Linked DNA regions of Alligator mississippiensis. The protein of the gene in region 3 interacts with the protein of the main gene of each other region in a pairwise test. Links are inferred from orthologs where the notes say so. Each region holds a gene or a part of one and is shown on either strand. Other genes may lie near its edges. The genes, in order: CPNE7, NATD1 and ADAMTSL4.

Region 1 (3,741 bases), on a different chromosome or scaffold from region 3:
TCACCCCCCAATGCCAGCCCCCTGGAGTGGCCGGGGGGCTCACCCACCACCCCTAGCAAGGGGGGCAGGTCTGTACCTTGGCAGAGCCGGGGAAGGTCCCTGGGGAAGCGTCGTCTCCTGTCCTGGCTCTTCTGCTGCCAGCCTGGCACGTGGCGCTGAGCAGCGCTGGGCAGGGGACTCGGATGCCGACTGCTGCCTCCGCTCGGATGCCGCTGGGGTGCCCTGACAGCTTGGCTCGTGGCTAGGGCCCGCCGGGGCTGAACCGGGCCTGTGCCCCTGACACCGACTCGGCCAAAGGGAGCTGGGCAAGGAGCCACGTGGCTGGCACCAGTCTCCAGGTCCCCCAGCAGCTGCTTGGCAGGCAGCAGTCGGGGTGGGGTGCCAGAGAAAGCCACTCGGCAATGCTGGAGCATCTGCACCGGCCCCTTGAGCAGACGGCCCTGTTCAGTGAATCGCAAGGGAGCAACACTTCCCCTTTGGGGGCAAAGCGGGGGCTGGACTGGACCTGCTGCCCTGTGAACCGATGGCTCCAGGGAGCCCAGTGCTTGCCCCACTGGCACAGGAGCATAGAAACTGCCCCCAGCCCAGCAGCTTGGGGGAACACCCCCACCCTGGAGCTCCCAGGAAACCAACCGGAGCTGAAGCCACCTGCTCCATCACGTGGCAGAAGTCAGTAACTGCACCTCGGCCCGGGAACCTGAGCCAAGGGGGCATGGGAAGCACGTTTGGGGGCAAAAGGGCAGCATTTGATACGCTGGAGCGCTCAGGACCCTGCTGGGGAGCAAGACCTGTCTGGGCCAGTGGTGAGGGGGGAAGCGGGAGCCTCACACCCAGCCAGGGGCCCGCTCATCCCCAAGCTGCATCTGACAAGTGTTCCTGGTTTGCGTCTTGGCCCCTTTCCACCTCTGGGGCCATGCGCTCCATCTGCTCCCCGCTCTCACCGCGGAGGGGCACGGTGCCATGCCGTGTTCCACCCCAGGGGCAGCTGCATTTCAGCAGGTCTGCTCCCTGGGCGCAGGGCAGGCCCTCCTCCTCCTCGATCCCCTTGGGCTTCTCTCTCCAACTGCTGAGCAGGGTGCCCTCAAGACCCACGAGTGCTACAACCACCAGGAACAAAGCGAGTGCACAGCAACGGCAGCGAGTACTCCCGGCTCATTCCTGAATCACCAGGCAGCCGCCGCCCCCGCACAGATGCTCGCCTTCTAGTAGCCAAGCCTTCGCCGGAGGGATGCGGGCGCAGCTCTTCTCTTGACCCAGGCAGCCCTGATCTTCCTCCCCATGGGGCGCAGCCCTGAAAGGGAGGCTTGCTCAGACTGCAAAGCAACACTCGGCACTAGTGGAGACAGCCCAGCCACACTCCCTACCCAAAACCATGCAGGATCTGGGCATGGGAGGGAGCATTGACAGCCCTCATATGCTCAGAAGGCAAGGGAAACAGCCCTCTCCCAAATCCGATGCCTTGGATGTTGAAAGCCGACTGCTAAGCAACACCAGACAAGCCATGCTGCCCTGGAAGCAAGCGACAGCACGGCAGCCTGCAGGGCAAGGGGTGAAGGACTGACCAGCCGGTGGGGGTCAGTGCTCAGGCAGTGCCCGAATGCACAGGGGGACTGGGACCCCGCGAGATCTGCTCTCTGCTGCATAGGAGGAAGCCGTCAGCAAGTACCAGCTCCTGTGCAGGAGGCTGACAAGGGGCTGAGGCAGCTCCTGGAAGCCTTCACCCCACCTCCATTTTAAATGTGATGGGACAGCCAGCAGCTTGCTTACTGAGGGCCCAGCCCCAAGTGTCTCGTCAGAGGGGGAATCGAGGACATCGGAAATCCAGCCCCTTGAAGCCAGCCTGCTGCACCCCAGTGGGCCCCCAAGTCCTTCTACTTCCCCCCAAACCTGCCTGGAGCATCCGGGACTGCGGGAGGGGAAGGCGTGGTTACTGTGGCACTAGACAGATGCCCCTCACCACCGCCAAGGGCCACAGCGGATGTCGCGCTGCCCTTTACAAGGGAAGCTAGATCCAGCCAAGCTCCTGAGTGGGGAAATTCAGCTCCGTCTCCAAGGCAAAGCGAGCAGGCTGCCACTAGAAGGGAACAGAATGGGGAGGCGATGTCCTCCCTCATCAGTCAGCAGCCATCTGTTCAGAGATCCCTCAAAGCAGCTGGGCTAGCACCGGAAACGGGCTGGCGGGGAACTTTTGCTGTGTAAATGAAAGGCGCTGCTCTAGGCTGCTAGAGCCCCTTCCCTGGCCCTGTAGGAAGAGGCCGCACATGCACCAAAACTAGGGCGAGGCCTGTGGTTGTGTGGCGTGGGGTGCACGTGCTCAGAGCAGACTAGTCAGGGGGAAAGGAGCAACCCCTGATGCCCGTGTGGCAGTGAAAGCATTGCCCCTCCTGGGTCGTCCTAGTCCCTTCTGTGTGGCCCAAGAAGACCCCACACCAGGTCACGGTCCTAGGCTCTTTTATTAACAGTTCGAAGGAGAGGTGCTCACTTCTTCTTCTCCACGTCCTGCTCTGCAGCCTCCTTGGCTCGCTTTGCCCGGATACCGAAGAGGCGTGCGTTCGCCCGGGCCATGCGCAAGCTGGCAAAGGCCTTGAAGTTCTTTTCGTCCTCCGAGATAACCCGGGCCTTCTCCTTCTTGTACACCTGGCAGGAGCAGAGCCAGAGCCAGGGGGTTACACACAGGGGCAAAGACTGCCAGAGACGCGCCGATAAAGGCTCAGCACTGACTTGCACGCGGCCACATGCTGAGACTGACAGGGATACCTCACCCAGGCCTTGTCCCATGCAGCTCCCAGCTCATGCCAACAGACAACCTCTAGCAGAGCCCTCCCATGGCCAGATCACACAGCTGCTGGGCAATGCCTCAAGAGCAGGAGTGGCTCCAGTGCATGCTGCACAAACCCACGGCTTCTCTTGGCCAGCCTGAGTGGGACTGGCCAGCCCCCTTGGTTGCAGAGACCTCACTGCCAATGTGCACAGCTGGGCACACGCAGCTGCTGGTGCGGCTCAGAGCCCTCCAAATGTCAGCCTGAATCCTCAGCGCAGAACCCAGGGCCGAACGACTCCCCCCAGCTGGAAGGCAGAGCTGTCTGAAGGGGAGCTGAGCTGCCATGCCAGTAGCAGCAGCCACACATTTCAGGTGGTTTCACACTGACAAAGCTGTGCTTAGAGCACTTTTAACACACGCTCAGCTGAGCCCTGCACTCTGCGGTGGCACAGGACTCGGCCAGCCAACTCCTCTCAGACACGAGGACAAGTTTAACAGACTCTTGTTCCTTTGGGTTCAGGAGCTGGTGCTGTTTGGGGACGGCACAACTTAACCGCAGTGTTACGTTGCAGCACTTGCAAGGGGGAAAAGCCATCAGGACAGACTGCTCTGCAGTCAGAGCTCCCATCCCAGCACCACCCAGAGTCAAGGAAGTCGAACAAAGGACAGGACTTGCAGTTTCACTTACACTCCTAATAGGCATAACAGGTCCGGACAGCTGAGTCGCCATCTTGAGCTCTTCTGCCTGCGGAAGAGAGGGGAGAAGTGACTGCGGAAGTCCGTAGAGGCCTGCAGGAAAGGCCCCTGCAGCAGCAGCCCTGAAGCCACCCAGGTCACCACCGAAACCAAAAGCCGAAATCCTGCCTGTGCATGGCTCCTGCTGCCTGGCTCTGGAGCAGGGTCCCTGAAGGTTCAGACCCTCCTGCCTCTTCTCCAAGCCTTTCATTCCTCACTCTACATCCAGCCTAGAGTGCCCAGAA
Region 2 (3,741 bases), on a different chromosome or scaffold from region 3:
AACAATGCTGGGCGTTGGTGAAGTGCCACCGTGCCAGCACACGCTCACACTGCTGGTTCGCCGTACCAGGAGTTGTATCTGGAATCACGGAGGGCCAAGTTTTCAGCACAGGAGCCGAGGCCCGACCCTCACAGGATCAGCAGCAGTCATGGGTGATGCTGCCTGCCAACCTGCTGAGCTTCCAAACACCGGTCACTAGGGTCCAAACCAACCTCTGCGGAAGCCAAGGGACATTCCCAGACTTCCTTAGGGTTATATCAGGCCTGCAGCCAACGGAACGGCCTGACACTAGCTTATTCACTTCATATTTTTGCATAGGTGGTTTCCTGCTGGGTTGAGGTTCTCTCGCCAGGCTCTTTTCCAGCTAAGGGTCACTTTGTCACCAGACTGACTGGCAGGCAGGGCGGGGTGGCTCAGAGCAGCCCGAGCTTTTGCAGGTGACAATCAACCGTCAGACTGTCAGGATGGACGCTAGCACAGAGTCCACTCCTAGCAGAATGGCTGCTTGTGGCCTGTGAAAGCTGCCCTGCCCGACCTCAGGACAGCACAGCCAAGCACCTCTGCAATATCTGACTGGCGGAGAGTATTCAGGGGTGCAATGCTGAAAAATTAACTTCCTCAAAACAACCGTCTGCTCTGAGCCTTCCCTTCACTGTCGGCACGCAGAAGTGTTAAAACGGGGAGGCCAACGTGTGCCTCTGCACACTTCAAAAGGAAACATGCTGCATTGTGCGCGCACTCACAAAAAGAGATCAAAACCGAATCCAGTCTGCTCCTCGGCTTGCTCATTTTCTCAGTCACCGGGCACCATTTAGTCTCCTTTGCTGCCTATACCCATTGCTGAGCCTGAAGACTACACTTTGTAATTAGTGGTTTGAGAGGGGGGAAGTTTCTAAAATAAAAAAAGACACAAGCTATTCTTGTTGTTTTATTGAGAATGCCTCCTACTCCACGTATAATTTCTGAACTAGCCATCCATTTTTATAACCATCTACCCTGCAATTTCTGTACAGCAAGAAGATAGGAGAGAGAAAGAGAATTAGATTTAACTATTAGAACTATCACAGATCAAGATTTTGCCAGACAACAGGAAGCGTTGTGGGGTGCCTTTATCTCATTTCTTACTGCAAAATAAATGCAAGTGGGGGAGCTACCGGAGCCCACAGCAAACGGGATCTTTGCGGCAGGGTCAGGACCTGTTATCGCTAGTGCAAACACTTACACACAAGTGGTCCTACTGATTTCAAGAGGATTAGTCGTGCACCCGCAGTCTGCTGGACCGAAGCCTGCACGCGATTAGACTGAGGTGACCCTCCAGCCAGCCAGCTCTCCGCAGAAGGGGCGGCGGAGAGGACTTCAAATGTGTTGAAAGGAACCAAGCTTTAAAAGGGCCTCTTCCTGACTGCTGGATGTTATGACTGTACGCGATCCTCAAGACGCACGCATGGATGCTCCTCTTTGCTACCGTCAGCTGTCCCATTGAAACAAGTGAAGTTACACGTGCACTCACACGCTGACGGAACCAGGGGCTAATCCTGGTCTTCCTCTCCCTCCCAAGTTAGAAATGCTTCTTAAAAAAGAAAAAAAAAATATATCTCTGCAATCTGGCCCCTTAGCAGTTCCACTTCATGCCGCTCCCACAAAGCGCCAAAGCCGGAGGTCACCCCCCAAAAACTCCCTATCAAGAATTTAAGCAGTCAAACCCGACACCTGCCTCCAGAACGTCCTTCGCGCCCCGAAACCACGGTGCGGCCCATCTCGCCTCGTGCCCCGAAACCACGGTACGGCCCATCTCTCGCATCCTGGCGCGACGCACAAGACAGGGGTTTCTTTCCGCTGCCCGTCAGAAAAAACGAAAGGGATTTAAAACAATCGCCCGCCGCCTGTCCCTGTGGGTTCAGAGTCCTAAGCTACCGGGCCACAGTTACTCAGGGCAGGTGGCGCGGAGGGGGCTCACGAACTCAGCGGGTTCACTGGGGGGGCTTTAATGTGCTAAGCCTGGCTTTCTCCGGAGGACGCAAGCAGCTGGCAGGGAGGGACAGGGTCAACCTTGGCTTGTAAAGAGATGCCGACGGAGGCGGACGGGGAGAGTCACAAGCGCAGCAGCCGCTTGGGCGAAAGCAACCGCAGCAGCAGGGAGGAGCGGGCGGATGACAACCGGGACACCCCCGGGAGTCCCCTTGTTTTGTCTTCGCTTGTCCCAAGCCACCTCCGCCAGCGAGGGGCCCCTGGGGGCAGAGTGGCGGGGCTCCTGCCGCTCGCCCGCGCCTCCCCACGGACAAGGAGGGCTGGGGGAGCTCGGGAGGTGCCCCCCCCCCGCTCCAGGCCGCTCCGCCGCCCCGGCCCAGGCTTTGTCCGGCGGGCGCTCGGCCCCCCGAGGATGGGGAGGGAGGCTGGAGCAGGGCTTCCCCGCCCGCCGCCGCGCCCGCCCCCAGCCTCACCGTTGAGCCGCACCGTGAACTGCCGGCGGCGGCGGTCGTGCTCCACGCGGATGGGGCCGGCGGGCTCGGGCGGGCCGAGCGCGGCGGCGTGGGCCATGGCCGGGCCGGGCACGGCGCTCCCGCGCCCGCCGCGCCGCAGACAATGCTGGGGAGGGACGGCCAGGAAATCAGCTGGGAGTCACGTGGCGCGCCGCCGCCAATCGCCGCGCGCCGCTTTTGTTTTGATACATTCCGGGCGGCTCTTAAAGGGACCCCCCCTCCCTCCGCTCAGCTCCGCTCCCGGCTAGTGCGGCTTGGTGTGAGACCCCCCTCCCCACTCTTGGTGGGACCCCGCCACCTGCCCCGCGTCCCTTCGGCTGCATTGCTCCTCGTTGTGTCGCCTGCCCGCACTGAGACCAGCCCAGCTCCGGCCTCCACTTACCCGGCTGCAGCCTGAGCCCATTGCCTCTCCTTGTGTCGCCTGCCCGCACTGCGACCAGCCCAACTCCACCCCCGTTGGAAGCGCCCTTCCAGGAGCTGGAGGCTGCTCTTCAATCCCAGCCCCAGACTAAATCGACCCATTTCCCTCAGTGCCTCCTCGCCCCCCGGCCCCCCAACCATTTTTGTTGCCCTCCTCTGGACTCTCTCCACATCCTTCTGTGGTGGGGGCCCAGGCATGGCCGCACCGGTGCTGAATAGAGGGGAAATCGCTGCCCTGCAGCTGCTGGAAACACTCCTCCTAATGCAATTTCGTCCTTCCGCTGCACGTACCCCAGGATACATCCCCGGGGTGGGTGCAGCTGTTCCCAAATGCAAGCGCCTTCCTCCGCTTCCACAGATGCTGCTTTCATCCCGGTGAGAAGTGGGCAGCGGTGTCACGCGGGGGTCGGTGCTCAGTCCAGTGCTTTTCAACATCCTTAAGAGCGATTTGGATGTGGGGGTGAAGAGCTCACTCGCCGTGTTTGCGGACGACACCAAGTTATGGGGGAGCGTGGTCACGCTTGAAGACAGGCTACAGATGCAGGGGGACCTGGACAGGCTGGCAAATTGGGCGGGTGGGAACCTGATGAAGTTCAACGTCCGGAAATGTAAAGCGCTGCATCTCAGGACGAGCAACCCCCAACACGCCTACAGGCTTGGCCACACCAAACTGGCTAGCACCACGCATGAAAAGGACCCGGGGGTAATAATAGACCACGGTATGAATATGAGCCGGCATCGCGATGCTGTAGCCAGTAGGACAAACAATACTCTGGCGTGCATCAATCGATGCATCTCCAGCAAACCCAAGGAGGTGATTCTTCCGCTCTACTCGGCACCG
Region 3 (3,741 bases):
CCCGCTCCCGCTCCCGCTCCCGCCCCGGCTCTACCTGCTGCTGCCGGCGCTGCCCGGGCCGGCCGGGCGCGGGGTCCCGTCCCGGGCTCCTGCCGCCGCCGCCGCTCCGCCTCCTGCCGCCCGCGCTGCCCCGCCGCGGTGGGCTCGTCCCGGCCCCGGCCCCGGCCCCGGCCCGGCCCGGCCCGGCCCCGCCCCGCCCCGCCCCGCCCCGCGGGCGGCTCCCACGGCCCGCACCGGCACCGCCACTGCCTCTGTGCCGAGAAGACCCCGCGCTTGGGGGACACACACACACTGACCCACAGCTTGCACACCCTATCTGACACACTCTCTATACTTTCTCTCTCCAAAGAACGCACACGCGCACACACTCACACGAACATACAGCTCTACAGGGAACACACACACAACATACCGGAGACACACACACTCTGTACAGGAGAGATGCACAGACACACACACAGTCTACAGGGAACACACACACCTGTGCACACCCGCATCAATACCAATCTACGGGGAAGACACGTGCACACACACTCTGTACAGGAAAGAAAGACACATGCACACATGAACACACAGCTTTACAGAGTACACACACACAACATACACACGGGAGATGCACACGCTGTCTCCATACAGGGGAGATGCACACACACACAGTCTACAGGGAATGCACACACCTGTGTACACACACATCAATACCAAGCTACAGGGAAGACGCATACACACACTCACGCACACACACACACACACATGCACACACAGATCGACAGGGAACACACCTGACCCCCAGCTACAGGGAGCACACACAATCTGTGGGGAAGACCCCCCAGCCTACAGGGCAGACACACAGTCCCCCCATGAATAGCCCCTCCCGGCAGGGCCCAGCTGTGCTGGCTCCGGCCTTTCCTGACCTGCCCCGGTCTGGAGGAGGCCCCGGCCCAGCCCTGTCCCTGGTTCTCCCCAGCCCCATGGAGCAGATCAGGCCCAGGGCTTGTCCCAGCTCGCGTGGTGCTGCTTGGAGGAACCAGGAGACAACCCAGGCATCCGGGCTCCCACTGGGAGCAGAGGCAACCTGCGGCTTTGCACTGGGCAGCACAGGGCCCAGCTGGGGCAGGTGAAGTGCCACCGGGGCAGCAGCAGATAGACGAGCGCCCCTTTGAATCCAGGTGCACAGAGGAGCAGTTGGAAACGATTCATAAACCCTCAGCCCAGATCCCCCCACTCGCACTGGGTCTCGCAGAGCAGCTTCTCGCCCCCAAGCCGTCAGTGCTCTTATCCCCATTTCACACCTAGGTCAACCGAAGCACGCAGCAGGGGACAGAACTGGATCGAGCTCACTTGGCAGACTGGGGGGAGAAATGAACCCAGGTATCCGGCAGCCCAGTGCTCTGCTTCTCACGGGCACAGGAGAAAGTTACCCCTGGGGTGGGGAATGGCAGCACAGCGGTGGACAGCACGGGGAGCAGAGAGCAGAGCAGTGCATTGGGCAGGAGAAGGGCATTGGAGTGCCACTCAGGGTGGGCAGGGGTGTTTGCGGCCCACCTGCCCCCCACTGCTCCAGGGCCTGGGAAACCCCCCCTCCAGGGTCTCTGGCCTCTCCAAGGAACCAGCCCCTGGCCCACGGGGTGAGCGTGGCAGGTTATTCACTTGGCAGGGGTCCTGCAGGCGCTAGCCAAGACTGCGGCTGGAGCTGCAGGCCCCATGCAGGGCAAGAGACATCTTCCAAAGAGCTCCCCATGGAACCAGGCCAAGTAACATGCTCCCAGCCTGGTGACACCCAGATCAGACCCCCTTCTTGGAGGTCCCTTGAGATGCACTGGCTGCTGGGCCCGGGATCGCAGCCCTGCCGGCCCCACGGTTCTCCCCAGGGTCATGAGCAGCTGGGGGAAGGCCAGGAGCACGATGGCTTCCCAGGTGCTCTCTGCTCTCCCCTTCCCGCCGGCCCCTGGCAGCCCAGATCGGAGCAGGAACCTGAAACCAACCATCTCCCGATGGCAGAGATGCAGCTCCCTGGGCTTGGCATGAACTGCTGGCACCAGCCCAGGCCTGGCTCTCATCCCCAGCAGGCCAGGCTCCCCCCCACGCCAGGGGGCTGGAAGACAGGGGCTCAAATACCCCTTTTTGCCCCCTGATGCCATCCAGGGACCTCATCCCGGGTCTCCGCTAGAGCAAGGAGACCCATATCTGCTACTAACCTGCTGGGTGGCCTTGGTATTCTGCTGCCTGTGCCCAGCCCCCGCAGAAGCTAATAACCGAACATCCCTTGGGACCCCCAAGATGAGACGCGTGGATGGTTGGGGTTCCCCATTACCGTCTGGCAGGACCCGGCTCCTCTCTGGGAAGCATGAGATGCACAAACTCCCAAGCAGAGAAGGTCGGGGATGCTTTCAGTTGTGTGTTGGGGGGGGAGGGGAGAATAAAAGTCCTGCGTCTGTCCAGATAAGGGGGATGTTGCTATCAAGCCAGAACATGGCATTTTGGGACCGTGCCAGGTTGACCTGTTTGAAACGCTCTGAATTTTCCTTTCAAAGAGCCTTTGCAAAATAAGCCCGACCGTCCAGCAACTCTAACGCTGCAGAGAGTTAAAAGAAGGTCGCGCCGGGGACAAAAATGTCTCTGTCTTTATCAGCGACATGTTTCAGTGACTTCAAAATTCCTCCTTTTATCCCCCACCTCCGCTGCCCACCCCTAAAACACACATACATGCACAACGGGGCCATTTTCTGCCCACCTTAGAAGAAAAATCTGCAATCCCCAATTTCCAGAAAAGCGGGAAAAATCCAGCATCTGCTTGATGAAGAGCAACCTCAGCTGAGCCTTTCCCCACCGAGGCGCTTAGAAGTTTGCTAACTCCAGATGTTCCTTTTCAGCTGTTTTTTTTTTAATTTGGAAATAACTTATTGCTCTGTGGACGCCATCCAGCTGAACGCAGCAGTGCTGGTCTCTTACTATCCAGTTACTCTGCTGTATGAGGCTGGGGTGGATCGGGGCAGGGGGTGCATTGATGCCGTGCACCCCAAATTTAAACCAAACTACCCGGCCGTAGAAGTGGCATTTCTATTTGGGGAGTCACAACTTCTTGACTCGTTGGGCTCTTCCTTCTCAGCATTTCATGACATGTATTAACGACCCTCGCTCTTTTTAAACTGTCTCGATGCTCCGCTAATCAAGCTATCTGCTCTCCTGCAGTTCTGCCGCCTGTTAGGTGCTCCTGGGAACGGAGCTCTTATTTCGCAGCCCAGCTGACTGGTTTTTACCTCTAGCTCAAAACACAAACTGAGACGTGGGGACAAAGTTTTAGTAAAGCTCTGGACATGCTCTCAAAATGTATTGTTTTTGCCTCTGTTGCTGGGTTTTTTAAACACCCGGGGTATGATAGAGCAAATTAATGACCTTTCCAATAAAGAGGCCTGTGAGGTTCTTTGGGAAAATGTGATATCTTTTACTTGAGCAGCTAAATATTTGGAAAAATTGTTCTTTGCAAGCTTTTGGGCACAAACACCCTTTGTCAGGCAGATCCATTTGTTATTGCTTCCATCTTAAACTGCAGACTATAGCCCGAGGCTCCCAGCATATTTGCAATGCCTCTGGGGTTTTTTGACCCGGAGAAAGATACGTGTTGTGTTATATGCACCACACCGTCTGCACCCCCTGTTTCAAAATCCTAGATCTGCCCATAGCTATGCTATTACTCTCCAACACTGGAGCTGGGCTGGTCTCAGTGGGGGCAGATGACAGAAC

The links.
Region 1: the proteins of ADAMTSL4 (region 3) and CPNE7 interact in binary tests that used the Homo sapiens proteins (3 or more experiments, as listed by UniProt). The two-hybrid records come from large-scale screens. The link is inferred for Alligator mississippiensis from reciprocal best matches to the Homo sapiens genes ADAMTSL4 and CPNE7.
Region 2: the proteins of ADAMTSL4 (region 3) and NATD1 interact in binary tests that used the Homo sapiens proteins (3 or more experiments, as listed by UniProt). The two-hybrid records come from large-scale screens. The link is inferred for Alligator mississippiensis from reciprocal best matches to the Homo sapiens genes ADAMTSL4 and NATD1.

What each region holds. Positions count from the first base shown.
Region 1 is NC_081833.1:75,885,093-75,888,833, reverse strand, and holds the start of CPNE7 (copine-7), read right to left. Parts: upstream 2,351-3,741; 5' UTR 1-2,350. Other genes in the region: RPL13 (large ribosomal subunit protein eL13), read right to left, coding at 2,479-2,637, 3,450-3,506. UniProt on the Homo sapiens protein: Calcium-dependent phospholipid-binding protein that may play a role in calcium-mediated intracellular processes.
Region 2 is NC_081836.1:53,946,712-53,950,452, reverse strand, and holds the start of NATD1 (protein NATD1), read right to left. Parts: upstream 2,583-3,741; 5' UTR 2,539-2,582; coding exon 2,442-2,538; intron 1,837-2,441; coding exon of another isoform or gene 1,715-1,836; intron 1-1,714.
Region 3 is NC_081838.1:19,041,467-19,045,207, reverse strand, and holds the start of ADAMTSL4 (ADAMTS-like protein 4), read right to left. Parts: upstream 2,331-3,741; 5' UTR 2,196-2,330; intron 147-2,195; exon of another isoform or gene 35-146; intron 1-34. UniProt on the Homo sapiens protein: Positive regulation of apoptosis. May facilitate FBN1 microfibril biogenesis.